Linked DNA regions of Bombyx mori. The protein of the gene in region 1 interacts with the protein of each later gene in a biochemical or structural test. Links are inferred from orthologs where the notes say so. Each region holds a gene or a part of one and is shown in the gene's direction. Other genes may lie near its edges.

Region 1 (7,575 bases):
TAGTACTACCTGTTCATAGATTTAAGAAAACTACCAAGGAATGATTCTGCAATAATGCAAACTGTTAAGTCAAAGATTTAGAAAATAATATTACTAGATGACCTGGTGTGTAAGTGAGGAACTGCAAATCTTTTCATCTTACTGCTATAATCATAAAAACTCAAGTATATCATTTACATGCTGTTGAGTGTTTTCACATTCTTGTTGGGATTGTATCTCTCGACTGTATCGATTTAGTAGATATAGAATTTATTATGGCTTTCAATAAAAAAGTTCAATGACATGCAAATTGAAATTAATAAATTTATATTTGTAATTTCAATCAATACAATTCAATACCATTTCAAGGTGCACCTTAGAATATTCAGCCTCTCAACATGCAAATGACTAAAACCACTTAAAACTGTAAAATTACTGCTGAATATATAAATCTGCATATATTTTGATGTTAAACTATAGTCGGATTTTTAATTAGACGAAGCCAGCTGACAGTAGCTAATGTCACTTTGTGAAATAATGTTGCTATATTTAAAGTAATAGTGATGCGTTCAGTTCTCGTTCAATCACATAAATGAACAATGAGTGTGAAGAGTTAATCATTAATTTCAAACTATAAAAGAATATTATTTATATTTTACAATAAAATTGTATTAAAGTGATCCAATATAATAATATGTTACTAGTAGTATGTAACTACAATCAGTTTTTTTTATTTTCATTACCTATGTACCTATAATTGTTATATTTTATACATCTATAGTTTCAACTATATGATGCATTGGAAATAGGACAGTCTTACAAGCTTCCTCGCAATGTTTTTCTTAATGTTTAAAACACTCGGTATTCAGTACAGGTAGATACCATAGGAACATAATGTTTCGTCGAAAACTCGTTGGTATGTACAAAGCACGACTAAAATTCGAACCCCGTGCCCGATATCGGCAGTTCGGCACACTAACTATTCACTAGACAATCGAGGCAATTTCATTAATTCAGGAGTTTTTTCAATCGTTCACTTTGTCACAACACTATTTTTATTTCATCAAAAACTGACAACACAGTAAACGTCAGTTATTTCGTCTAATAAAAAATCCGACTATAAATATATTTTGTGAAATACAATCTTGTTACAGGAACCTCATGAGAATGGACCCTTGTTTGTTGAGAAACACTTTTACCTTAGAAATGCCAACAAAGATGATAGTAGGTATTTGTCAAATGTACTAATGAAATTTTAATAAAAAGGTTGATTTTATTGACCTCTAAAGGCCACTAGAGATTTGTGCATAAAGCTTTGAGTTGAGGGGTGGCATTTTGCTCTGATGTTTAGAAGTCCTTACTATAAAAATTCTATTAGTAATATGGCACACACAGACAAAACCCAGCTTGTTTGACTGTGGATCTTCTCGCAGTGCAGTGGGTCAAATTCCAACCTGGTGGGTGAGTTTACCGTCCAACCAAGGCGAAGCCAGAATAGCTTGAGGCTAGAGGCAGATAAATAGGAATAAAATGCCTGCCTAACCATCCTGCCTATTCCTGGTGTGAAGCAGTTATTTGTCCAGTTTGATATTTAAATTAGCTTCTACAATATAATTGACACTGTGAAATGTGTCTTGTACCCACAAGATACCATCACTTGGTAGCATTCACATTGTCATGCTTATAGGCTCTGGTAACTTTTTTTTTTGCTTACATGGGTGGACGAGCTCACAGCCCACCTGGTGTTAAGTGGTTACTGGAGCCCATAGACATCTACGACGTAAATGCGCCACCCACCTTGAGATAAAAGTTCTAAGGTCTCAAGTATAGTTACGACCGCCACCCCATCCTTCAAACCGAAACGCATTACTGCTTCACGGCAGAAATAGGCAGGGTGGTGGTACCTACCCGCGCAGACTCACAAGAGGTCCTACCACCAGTAGAGGTGGGACTACAGGGGAGGACTAGTTGAAATCACTTTTGCAATGAGTTAATTCACCCATACCGCCCTATACCATTTCAGTTTCACAGTTTATGAAGGAAAGGAAACTAACGAGCCTTGGAATGCCGACTCATTTTGGCAGCGGCTCTCACATGTACAAAGGTGAAAAGTACAGGTACCTTATATTAGAAAGATATGGTAAAGACATTTGGAGCATTTTCCTGGAGAGTCAGAGGTTATTCTCACCGACTGCAGTCTTCCAATTAGGATCACAAATGGTTAGTAATACTAATATTTTATTTAGTGATGAAAACTTATTAGTATCTGTAGGTGGCAAGCCAAGTTCATGATTCTGGTCCTAAATGATTATAAGATTACCATAGACCTTAATGCAATCTAGTGACATCTGATAAAGTAGTACTAAGTCTTAATTTCAGTACTAGCAGACAGCCATATTATCATATTGATCAATACAGGTTCATAGTGTGATGATTTAAGCTCAATCCATGTGTTTAAACCTATACCTATAAATGAGATAGCATACCTAGCGTACACATTCTACATTTAAAATATTAAGACCAATTTTTTGGATTTGCTTATAAGGGTAGGTGAGCTCACATTCCACCCAGAAAGTTTCAATGTTCTCAGTGTTATAGTTCTGCAGCTGCCCCATTTTTCAAACTGAAACCCAATACTGCTTCACAGCAGAAATAAGTATGGTGGTGGTATTTATCTGTGTAGGGTCACAAAAAACCCTACCATCAAATCAAATCAAATCAAAAAAATTTTATTCAACATCCAATTCACAAAAACTAGCCTCCGCCCTGAGAAGAATTGGCAAGAAACTCAGCGGGCATGTCTTTTTTTTTTAAACATTACTTTTTTTTAATATTAGTCACTTATCTATAATAATGAAGTTTACTATTCAGAGCAATAGAGTAACCCGAGCTTTAATTGCACAGATGATTAGTTTAAATCTGCCTAAATATGACCAGTGTGCTATTGCACTATCTAGTCAGTCCAGGTGACTTTGTACCAGCAAACTGCATCATATGTTAACACATGGCTGCCACTAATTTCTTCAAGGCTTATGATACCCTAGTCCCTACATCATAAACATGAGAGTTATTTGGCAGGCAGTTGTAGTATTTTTTCTTAACCCTAAAAATTTGTTTATCAGCTAGACATATTAGAGTACATACATAATCGGGGCTATGTTCACGCTGACATCAAAGGAGCTAATATTCTGATGGGATTGAAGAAAGGGAAAGAACACCAAGCTTACCTCGTAGACTTTGGATTGGCTTCTCGGGTCAATGACAAAGAGTTCAAACCAGACCCTAAATCTGCCCATAATGGAACTATTGAGTACACAAGTCGTGATGCACACTTAGGTGGTGAGTGCTGTTATTTTTTAATGAGATGATGATCCTCTTATATTTTGGTTTCTCTAGTACATTGACGTAATGGACTAGAATGTTGCTGTGTCTTCATATCTCAAATCGAAATGTCAACCTATTTGGAATGGTGGCTGTACTAGTGACAGGGCATACCCATATGCCTGCTCTTTACATACACTAAGCATAATTTTTCTATTCTAAAATTCTTAAGTACATAATCACATTAGAGCCCAAATATATACTGCTGAGCATGCACAGATTGAGACCACTATTCTCCATTTCCACCACTGAGCAGTTATGCATTCAGAATTTATGAGCTCTACCTTATGCCTTAAAGCAATCGGCGTCATTGACGTAATGGTGTCTGGGTTGAGATAATGAACTCACCAAGTGGGCAGTGTAGTGGACACCTGGAAGACATGAAAAAATTTACTTCACTGATCGAGACATGAATAAAAACTTGGAATGTTTCGTACATTTTACAATTACTGCAAACTGTACATCAGTTCATCATCATATCTGCATAAATTTATATTTTAGTACCGACGATGCGTGGTGATCTAGAGATTTTGGGCTACAACATGCTGCAGTGGATAACAGGGGAACTGCCATGGGAAAAATCATTGAAAGAACCTCGTACTGTTCAAACATTGAAAGAAGCCTTCATGAAAAACGTGAAAGCCAACATCACAAAACAGTACCATGATGTTCCCGGTATGTTTAATCATGATTCTCCTGCCCTTCTCCCAGTCACCTGGGGTCAGCAAACATGTATTCTTTTTCCATGCTTCTCCATCATATACCATTTCTTCGCTCACTCCCCTCTTACACATATCGTATTTCAAGCAATCCATCCATTTTTTCTTAGGTATGCCTCTTCCTAAAATTTAATGCAATGAACAATTTATAAAATTTTAGTAATTATTCAACGGGAATGAATAAGTACAACATCTGACCTGTTTCAGTCACAAAGTTGTAATGTAATCCAAATGTAAGTGATAGAGTAATCTCTCCACTCTGCATTTATTTTTGTATTTGGCGTCCACCAGCCCTGCTCAATTAACATGATTAGTACCAAGGTTTTTTTATTGGTTAATTGGTTGGACAAGCTTATGGTCCACCTGGTGATTAGTGGTGACTGGAACCCATAAACATCTACAATGACAAAGCCCCCCCCCCTTTTAAACATGAGTTCTGTGTCTTAGTTATTGCATTACAGCAGCTGCCTTACTTAATTTTTATTACACGATGTTATTCCTTCACCATGGAAGTCAATCATGAACATTTATTAAGTAATTATTTTATTGGAAAAATTGGTACCCGCTACCGGGATTCGAACACCGTTGCCACGCTAGATACCGGACGTCTTAACCTTTAGACCATGATGACTTCTAAATAAATCTAACTTAATCCAATTCTACTTCGATATGAAAATATACAACTTTACCTATAATTTTTCAGATGCTCTAATAAAATTCTTTGAGTACATAAACACATTGGAGCCCAAACAAATACCAGATTACGCGAAATGTCGGCAACTCTTCGAAACTTACCTCAAAAAGGAAGGGAAAACAAAAACAAGTAAACTAGAATTTACACCAAAGAAAAAACCGAAAACAAGAACACAAGACAGCGAGGACGACAGCCTCAAAGAGAACAAAGTGACTAAGCGGAGAGGCAAGCTCACCAAAGTCACCACTGATACGGTTGCTGACGGACCAGAAAAAATTACAAACATCAGACAAACAAAAAGGAAATCCACCGAACCTGCTTTAGTAGTCAAAGTTAAAAAGACCAGACTAGCGCCGAAGGCCACGCCTCCGACCAAGAAAAATCACGCGAACATCGCGACACAGACCTCCGTTGAAAAGGCTAAAGGCAGACAAGTCTCTTTCGACAGTCCAATCAGTGAAGTGATCGGTGAAAAAAGTTCAGTGAATTCAAGTGGTGATATATTTGATGATTCATTCGTTATTGAAGAGAGGAAGGTTAAACGTCCAAGGAAAGTAGTAACCGATGAGCATGTCACTATTAAAAAGGTCGTTAGAAAGAGAGTTGTGAAGAAGGGCAGGTCCTGGAAGGACGCGCCTACCGTCGTCAACGGACGATCGCCCCCCACATAAACCACTCGTGTTGAAAGGGTTTTAGGGACAGTTTCAGAAAGACAACACCGATGTGGTATTTTTATATGAAGACAGATAATACTGAGTCATGCTTAAGAAATGTACAAGAGCAGATTGTCACGTAACATTGAACCAAAAATTGTGCATTTTTTTGAAATGTCCTTAAAATGTTATCTTTTATTACATTGCAATATACAAAGTTATTTGTTAAAAATAATAATTAATAAGACTTAAATTTTTAAGTATTAAATACAACATGTAAGAACCTTCACATCTGTTTCTAACAAACCTATACAGGAGACAGTTCCTGCTGCTACGAATGTTGACTGTAGTTTTTCTCTTTGATATAATGCAATAGAATAATTACTCTGGATTACTAAAGATATTTCTGGTATGTGAGTCTACCAGATATTCATATCCCTTTTTTAAAACGTTAATGTGTTGTTTGCTGTTATGTAGCATACATATCGTTGTTAGTATATTTCATTTTAATTAAGTTGTCAGTATTTCGAATGTTTGAATTTATGTTTTAAATGAAATGTTATTGTAATCTTTTGTGTACTTACTTTATACAAAAAAAAAATTGTTTTAAATTCCTAGAAAATAAAGTCTGATGTACATTATCACATCCCTTATGTTAAAAATTGTTTCGCTGCGTCACTTTGTATCGTTTTTAACATTATTAACGCGTACTAGCAATTTAAATAATGTTCACTATAGACTTTAATGAATGCAATGTCGGATCTAGTTTTCGCAAAAGTAATTTCTGTGTGTAATTGTTTTGTGCTTTTTGTATATATTTCCTGGTTCAACAAAAAAAAATTATATCATTTAAAAAAATATTGTTATACTAATTCATTTTCATGTAGCTACTATATCTGAGTCGACTATTATCAAAGCCGGCAATGTGACTTTTGGACAATTATTGGTAAATCAGAAAAACGAATTATTGACTTTGTATTCCATTGGCAGTCACAAAACTCTTCGGAACGACATCTTAGATAAATAACAGGTTAACTATTAACCTTTATTTAATGCAGGTTTTGAACCGTATTCTTTGAAGGAGACGATTATATTCAAATCAATCTGTATTGACATATCAATAACATTTTTTTGTCCAAATGCACAGATTGCCACCTTTGATAATAGACGACTCATCTTTAGTATAGAGATTTAGTGTTTTCATTTCTGGAATGTCACCATTGTTGTCCGTTGACAGAAATGTTTCGCTTATGTTAGTAATATGTATTTTTTTAAGTAATTTGAAATAGTGTAAACCACCACCGCAATAAGAATAGCACAAATAACTTGTACCTTAATAGTGCCATTTCCATAAAATAAGATTAAAATTTACACCAATGTTAGTGCAATGTTATCAAATAGTTCAATAATCCAAATATAAAATTGCACTTGTCAAATATATAGCACTAACTTATTGATTAGCCTCTTTTTTAGCCTAGTTTTGTACAAGTGAAAGTCCTAGCTCATAAAAACTAAGCTTTTATTAGTACAACATCTTTATTTCCTCTAAAGACATTTCAACACCGAAAACTGTGCCAATAAATAATAATTAACATAACGGAATTAAAATTATTAATTATAAACGAGTGAGCGTGTGTTAGTTTCTCGAGGAAAATATATAAATGATTTTTGCTCAATTCCCACTCAAATAAGGCTGGTGAATTAGAATTATAGCATGAACACACGAATTGTACAAAACTCCCAAGATAAGTAACTCAACTTTTAACATTGTAAGCCAACATGAAATAGTAATCGATCGAAATTAATTGTAATAATTTTTAAATGATTCATTATTAAAATCATTATACTTTTTAAATTGAATGCAAAAATTAAAGAATTATCTATGTAATTAGAATAAATTATATTATATTGTATTTGTATTGGATGACGGTCGGCCTTTAAAAGCACTACGAGGAAATAAACTTTATATTTAGATATTTTTTGAGGGCTAGTCTGAGTTTCTGCAATGTTTAATTACATTACCATCCCACCTCACATTACACCGAATAGGAATAAATTCTTCTATACACATAGTGAATTTGTAATCACCCGAGCCAAATACGAACATCCAATCTCCAAGATTTTTCTTTATAAATTCGTGGTTCTGTGG
Region 2 (7,668 bases), on another chromosome or scaffold:
GCGATAAGACCGCCAATTGTACTTTTTTGTTTTTAATGTATCGCACTGTGTATTTGTTTTTTGGTGTACAATAAAGAATACTCTCTCTCTCTCTCTTAATCTTTTGTATATTCAATTTCATGAAAAATGATAACCAGACTTTTGGAAGAACCCGAGAAGCTACATCCGGCAGTTTTGTTTTATTTCCTCACATTTGCGTACTTTCACAAATACCAAACAGTTAAGAAACCACCTTTATAACACATTTAAACTTGAAGAAACGTTAAATTAAATGACTATAAAACTAACATTTAATAAAGTAATAAAAATAATCTTCGGATATATATACTGACTTATGATGGTTACAAATAGTAAGAAGTTCAGTTCTAACAATAACAATTTATACAACTTCATTCCTTGAGTTCTAGCGTTCCACAATTGAAAATCCGCACGAGTCGAAATTATCTTTTGCTTTATTTGTTCCGTTCGTACATCTGATACAAAAGGTATAAAGCCATTAGTCTTGGAGTTCTTGGTTCTTGAAGTGTGATATGATTCCCGATGCATTCGTATCAAACGCTGCAACTGTGAATCCCGCAAACAGGTACGAATTTTTGTAATGAAATACGTAAGTGTGTATGTATATAAGAAGTGTTCATAATTGACTTCCACAGTGGAGGAATAACAATAAGAAATAAAAAGCAAACTCACAAAAATTAAAAGATGCATAGTTATGTGATAGGGCACCTTGTGAATGCGCACGAGTAGGTATGTACCATGACCCGGCCTATATCGGCCATGAAGCAGTAATTCGTTTCGGTTTGAAGCATGCGTCCGCCGTTGTACTGAAGAATTGAGACTTAAAACTCATATTTCATGGTGAGTGGCAGCATTTACGTTGTTGATGTCTATGGACTCCGGTAACCACTTACCACCTGGTGGGCTGTGAGATGGTCCACCCATCTAAGCAATTTTTTTTTTTTTAAGAACTTAAAACTTTCCTTTCATGTCGTTGCCATACCCGTGGATTTCAGATAGTCGTTAAGGATGACAACCCGTGTGATATCATAGCAAAGCGAGATGCGCTCCGAGTTAAATGCGCCACCCTGCATCCGTCTAACTTCGTTTGAGTACTATCTCATAAGAAAATTTAATATTCAATCAATACTCTCTAATTACGAGAACATTTTTTTTTTAATTTAACATTACATTGTAGCTTACATGTAATAATAGATTGACTTTTCCATCGATGTATTTAAACAAACAGGTTCTGGCAACAAAAAAGCGGTTACCACATCTAGGTAAAAAGGCTTCAACCTATAAGTAGTTTAAAACTATTAAATTCATGTCATAGGGCCTATGTCCTGTAGTGCACGACTGTGGGCTGAATATGATGATGACGATAATGATATTATTGTATGAGTATTTAGGAATTAGAGTAGAATATAGAATCCACTTTTCATCACATGTCACAATTCGATCCAATATTCCTTCATTTCTGTATCGATTCAACAAGGCAACACAAGTTTCAACATGCCTTTCTTTCTGCAGATCAGTCAAATCATGCGGCACCCATTTTTCATAGGAATTTTTTTATTTTATTGATTTGACGCAAATGAGTCAATATTGTTGTTAAGGTAACTAACGTTAAACCATGCCGCTAATTCCTGGGTAGTTTGGCTCGGATCGGCTTCCACTATGTATCTCTTTCAATTCATTATTATTCACACGTGTGGACGGTCTTCTACGTGGTTCGTTCTTCAAATCAAAATTTCCATCTTAAAAGCGATTAAACCAAAATCGCACGGTGCGTCCATTAGCAGTCTGTTGAAGAGCTAACGTAACCTACTTGCACGAAATTATACATACTGGCCATTAATAAGCGTTTGTTTTTAAAAACATTTCTGTCATTAATATTCTGGTGTATTGATTTTAATATGAACGTAATGTTTCATAAAATTATAATGGTTGAATGCAAATAAAACAACAATATTATCTTACATACTATTTTAATTCATATCACAGGCATCTCTCCAAACGCAACATTGACATTGCGAGCTGTTTCGGCAGCGTTAGTTCCGCGTCGGATCTTTTATTCAAAAATCATTCGAATTTTCGAAGTATCCATCTTTCTTGTCTAAGCTGAATAAAAAAAACAACTGAAAGTCTTTAACCGAATCTTGCACTTTTTTTAAAAGAAGAACCTCATAGGTACCATACCATTTGTAAAAAGTTTTTGTTGGACGGTTAAATAGAAATTCCAACAGTTTTACTCAAAAATCTCAAACCATGAAGGCTCTTTGTTAATTCGAAGTACCTATTACAACAAAAAGGCAATTTCATATTTTAACCCTTATTACAAAAGCCTAGGTTCCCGTTGCCAGTCCAATCGTGAAATAAAATAAATAACAAAGCATAGATAATACATTTTTTTTTTTAAGAGATTTTATGACCTGGTAACTAAGACCTTTAAGTCATGTCTTATTTTACTTTATATTCTTAATTTTATGAAAAATGATAATATGGAGTGAAATGAAATGAAGATGATTAATTTGAGACATTAATCAACTGGGATGAAATTTAATGAAATGAGATGATATGGGATGAAATATAATCGCAGTAAAATGGTGGTCATTTACTGAGATTTTTTCAGTGGACTTTTTGGAGGAACCCGAGAAGTTACGTCCAGCAGCTTTGTTTCATTTTCCCACATTTGTGCACTTTCACAGATATTAAACAGTTAATAAACCACCGTTATTACACATTTAAACCTGAAGAAACACTAAATAGACAAAATAAAACAAATCACACAACTTCACTGCTCGCGTTCCCGCCAAAAAGTCCCATAGATAATAAATTTTTTTTTAAGAGATTTTATGACCTGGTAACTAAGACCTTTAAGTCATGTCTTATTTTACTTTATATTCTTAATTTTATGAAAAATGATAATATGGAGTGAAATGAAATGAAGATGATTAATTTGAAACATTAATCAACTGGGATGAAATTTAATGAAATGAGATGATATGGGATGAGATATAATCGCAGTAAAATGGTGGTCATTTACTGAGATTTTTTCAGTGGACTTTTTGGAGGAACCCGAGAAGTTACGTCCAGCAGCTTTGTTTCATTTTCCCACATTTGTGCACTTTCACAGATATCAAACAGTTAATAAACCACCATTATTACACATTTAAACCTGAAGAAACACTAAATAGACAAAATAAAACAAATCACACAACTTCACTCCTCGCGTTCCCGCCAAAAAGTCCATAGATAATACATAAACATAGGTACCATAGATTATACACTTAATATATTCGAGATAGGTACACAGGGTACACTTAATTAAGTTTATGACAACAAAATACACAAAAAAACTAATAAACTTCGTAAAGATAGACAAATATAAAATTTGTTTCTTTCTATAAGTACAATAAACAAAGTTTTTTACGAAAATGTCGAGTACATCACAAAAACATAGAAACTTTGTTGCTGAGCCAATGGGTGAGAAACCAGTAACAGAATTGGCGGGCGTGGGTGAAGTTTTAGGAAAACGACTTGAAACCGGGGGCTTCGATAAGGTTACAGTATAATTTTATCTCAAAAGTGCAGCTTTTGTATGTTTCATCAATGCTCAAGTGATCCTAAATGTTTTAAAATAATCTTATCAAATTGAAAATTGATCTTTACATATATATACTGCTCGGAAAACTGTTTAATGCAATATCTTTAAGCAGGTGTTTTAAACTTGAGAATAAATTTCAGTACTATTTCATTAAGAGTTAAATTAAATCCTGCATAGATTAATTGTGATAGAAATCGTATAAAGAATGTTGTTATTAAGCAGTAATCAATTATGGAATAAAATCTTTAAAAAAAATGTTGCTTAGCTTCCTTGCCCTCCAAGATGACCAATTACATGTATACCTAGGTGTTAAAAAAAGATAAATCAAGAACAACTACAAAGCAGTAATGTTTCTGCATTAAACTAGTGTTAGTTACCCTAATGTGAAATGTATTAGTTTCGTGAAAATGCCAAGATTAATTCATTCTTACATAGTCTTCAGATTTTGGATGCAATTTTCATTAAAATTACTAGCAAGATAACAGTTTTAATACCAAAATCTATATATATAAATGAATTGCTGTTCGTTAGTCTCGCTAACTTGAGAACAGCTGGACTGATTTGGCTAATTTTGGTCTTGGAGTATTTGTGGAAGTCCAGAGAAGGTTTAAAAGGTAGATAAATATGAAAATGCTCGGAATTAAATAAAAATAAGAATGTATTTTATTCATCGATTGAGGCACTACGAATTCTGCCGGGTCAGCTAGTATATAATATAATTACATTTGTTCCCTTTTTATTTTTCTCATTTACTATATTATGTATCATAAAATAACACTTACCATTTTCAGGCCTATGTCGTCTTGGGTCAATTTTTGGTACTAAAGAAAGATAAAGAGTTATTTCAAGAATGGATGAAGGACGCCTGCAGTGCAAACTCTAAACAGTCAGCAGATTGTTATCAGTGTTTGAAGGATTGGTGTGATGAGTTTTTGTAATTTTTATCCATATAACATTTATTATATTTTATTATTGCATTGTTTGAAATAATGTACATAATGTAATTTTAAGACTACATAAGTAAAATATATGTTCTACAATAATTATTTGTATTATTTAATATTTAAAAATGTTGAAGAAATAAAGTCCCAATTAAGAGTAATTAAATATAATCTTTGCTGGAAAAACACGAAGTCTTCTGTTATTTATGACAATGACTTGAATTTATTTATAAAACAATAAATAGTAATCCAAATATTTTGCAAAAGAATCAAATATATGTTCTCATAATGTTTTTCAACTATTTTACTTTATTAAGCTATTTCTTAGAATGTCTACTTTTCTAAGAAGTGCGTCATTTTTATGACCTATATTTGCATAACCATATGATATCACTCACCTAATGTTTAGATGCCAATAAGCATCACAGTATTGAGTGGGTGCAGTAATTTTCATTGAGTTAATCTCAATGAAAATCATTAACTTTCATTGGAATAGCAGAAATATATTCGTTCAGTGCAGAATGCATCATTACAGAATATCTTACTGCAATGTTAGAGACAGGAGTAAATTATTAAGGGATCAAAATAAGAAGTGCGTCAATTGTTATTTATTTTATAGCATATCTAAAAAGCTTAGACAATATATTTCAATTGTAAATAATGTAATGTTTTTTAAATCATGTAGATGTTCATAATTGCTACCTTCTTTTTGGTATTGGTTGGAATACATTCAGTATAATGTCATATGTGGTATATGTTTGTAGTAAATGGATAATAACATCACCAGTTTAGTCCATGCATCATTACATCACATTTCATCATAATATTACAATGGAATACCAAGGTCAATGGTGCAACAGTAATTAATCCATGCATCCATTACGATAATCAGAAGCGCGGCAGGGCCCCTAGGCTCTTATTAGTAGTACTGATCCATGGGCGGCCGTGCAAAGTTAAATCATTACCAAATATATTTTAATTTCATCTATCATAGTTTAGGGTAATGTTTACATCATGCATATATGTAGAAGTGGGCCTTGGATGCCATTTAAATTGGAAAAGAAATAATTGAAATTAATAATTAAGTTTTTAATAGTTATTTTTTATTAAGCCATAAACACCACAAAAAATATGAAAAAGAATATTAAAACCCCAAAAACTTTAAACATTAACGCCCTATTTCCAGTTACATTTTGGAAATATTTCAATATTTCTCTGTGGCCAGCTTCAACATTCATTTCTGCCTCATGAATGTTTGCATCAATTCTACCAATAGCTTCATCTTGTTCTTTTACCATATGAGCCAATTGTTGAAATATGCCTCCCAACTCCACAATAGTGCTTTCAATGTTATGCATAGTTTCAGCTCTCTGTTGTACATATGAGTCTGTATCATCTCTGAATGCAAATTGCTGTGCTTGTAAACTTGTAGCTTCACCCAAATCTATGCTTACTTCATCTTGTTGCAATAGAGATGGTACCTCTTTTACAACCGGTGTCACCCTTGAAAATTGTTCACGCCTGCTGTTCTGTTGCTTCAAATTTTCTGAACGAACTTCTAAGACCTGCAAACATTAATTTATAAGTTCATTACATCATAAAATTTTCTGACTTTAATTTCGTTCATAATTAAACAGCTAAACTTAAAATATGGTGAACTTTTACGAAAAAAAAGTGGAACAGTATAATATAGATCAGTAAAATTTCAAAGAACTAAATTGGGCTTTTTTTTTTTATTGCCCTTGTAGGCAGACGAGCATACGGCCCACCTGATGGTGAGTGGTTACCGTCGCCCATGGACTTCAGCAATGCCAGGGGCAGAGCCAAGCCGCTGCCTACCGTTTAATACTCTCCACAAGCCTCGTTTGAAGAAGGACATGTCATAGCGCTCGGGAAACACCGTGGAGGGGAGCTCATTCCATAGCCGGATGGTACGTGGCAAAAAAGATCTCTGGAAACGCACTGTGGATGACCGCAGTGGCTCCAGGTAGTATGGATGAACTCTACTCCGGTGGCGGGCGGTGCGATGGTAAAAACGAGATGCCGGTATCATCTCGAACAATTCCTCAGAGCACTCCCCATGGAACATACGGTACAGAATACAGAGGGAACCGAAATCCCTCCGCAGACCCAGAGGCTCCAAACGATCCGTGAGAATGGGATTGTCGACAATCCGAACGGCTCTCCTCTGTATGGAGTCAAATGGAAGAAGCTGGTATTTGGGAGTCCCGGCCCAGAGATGGGAGCAGTACTCCACGCGAGGCCGGACTTGTGCTTTATAAAGCAAAAGTCTTTGTCCAGGCGTGAAGTAGCGCTTTGCTCTGTTGAGGACTCCCAGCATTTTAGACGCCAACTTGGTTTTGCCTTCCAAATGACTCCGAAACTGGACATCGCTCGAAATGTCGACCCCAAGTATCCCAATACTCTCGGAAGGTTGCAGGGATACTCCTTGGAATTGCGGCGCCATGACAAAGGGGTCCTTCTTCGCAGTGAACGCGCAAACTTGTGTCTTTATCGGGTTGAATTGAACCAAGTTCAATTCACCCCATTCGGAGACTCGCCCCAGAGAGTTCTCCACTTCAGACACAAGTTTTGATCGTCTCTCTTGCACCGCGCTCCGAGAGAGACTCTGATGGCCGATATATCGCGCATCCCCCGTGCTGTCATCCGCATAGCAATGCATGCTATCAATAGACAGCATGTCATTGATATACAGGATGAAAAGCGTGGGGGAGAGCACCGAACCTTGTGGAACGCCAGCGTTAATGGTCATGGTATCAGAACAGTCACCGTCTACAACGACCGTGATGCTCCGCCCATCCAAAAAGCTAGCGATCCACTTGCAGAGACCCTCGGGGATTCCGTAAGATGGTAGCTTCGATAGAAGTGCCCTATGCCAGACCCTGTCGAAGGCCTTCGCGATATCAAGGCTCACAGCAAGAGCCTCGCCCTTGCTCTCCAAGGCTTCAGCCCACCTGTGAGTAAGGTATACAAGAAGATCGCCAGCTGAGCGACCGTGACGGAAACCGTACTGTCGGTCACTGATCAGCTGGCGATCCTCAAGATACTTCAGGAGTTGTGTATTTATTATTCGCTCCATCACCTTGGAAAGCAAGGAAG

What was found. The genes of interacting proteins can lie anywhere in the genome.
Region 2: of the proteins of nucleosomal histone kinase 1 (region 1) and barrier-to-autointegration factor B, one has a biochemical effect on the other in vitro, tested with the Caenorhabditis elegans proteins (2 studies listed by BioGRID). The link is inferred for Bombyx mori from reciprocal best matches to the Caenorhabditis elegans genes vrk-1 and baf-1.

What each region holds. Positions count from the first base shown.
Region 1 is NC_085109.1:14,103,359-14,110,933, reverse strand, and holds part of nucleosomal histone kinase 1, read left to right. Parts: intron 1-1,133; coding exon 1,134-1,203; intron 1,204-2,002; coding exon 2,003-2,199; intron 2,200-3,101; coding exon 3,102-3,318; intron 3,319-3,861; coding exon 3,862-4,035; intron 4,036-4,782; coding exon 4,783-5,444; 3' UTR 5,445-7,575. UniProt on the Caenorhabditis elegans protein: Serine/threonine kinase that phosphorylates baf-1, thus regulating the association of baf-1 with chromatin and nuclear membrane proteins during nuclear envelope formation. May act through the egl-17 signaling pathway.
Region 2 is NC_085118.1:10,678,961-10,686,628, forward strand, and holds barrier-to-autointegration factor B, read left to right. Parts: upstream 1-3,251; 5' UTR 3,252-3,437; coding exon 3,438-3,563; intron 3,564-4,398; coding exon 4,399-4,545; 3' UTR 4,546-4,650; downstream 4,651-7,668. Other genes in the region: syntaxin 5A, read right to left, coding at 5,655-6,113. UniProt on the Caenorhabditis elegans protein: DNA-binding protein which plays an essential role in nuclear envelope formation. Required for normal chromosome segregation during mitosis. Associates with the nuclear lamina via its interaction with LEM domain containing proteins emr-1 and lem-2.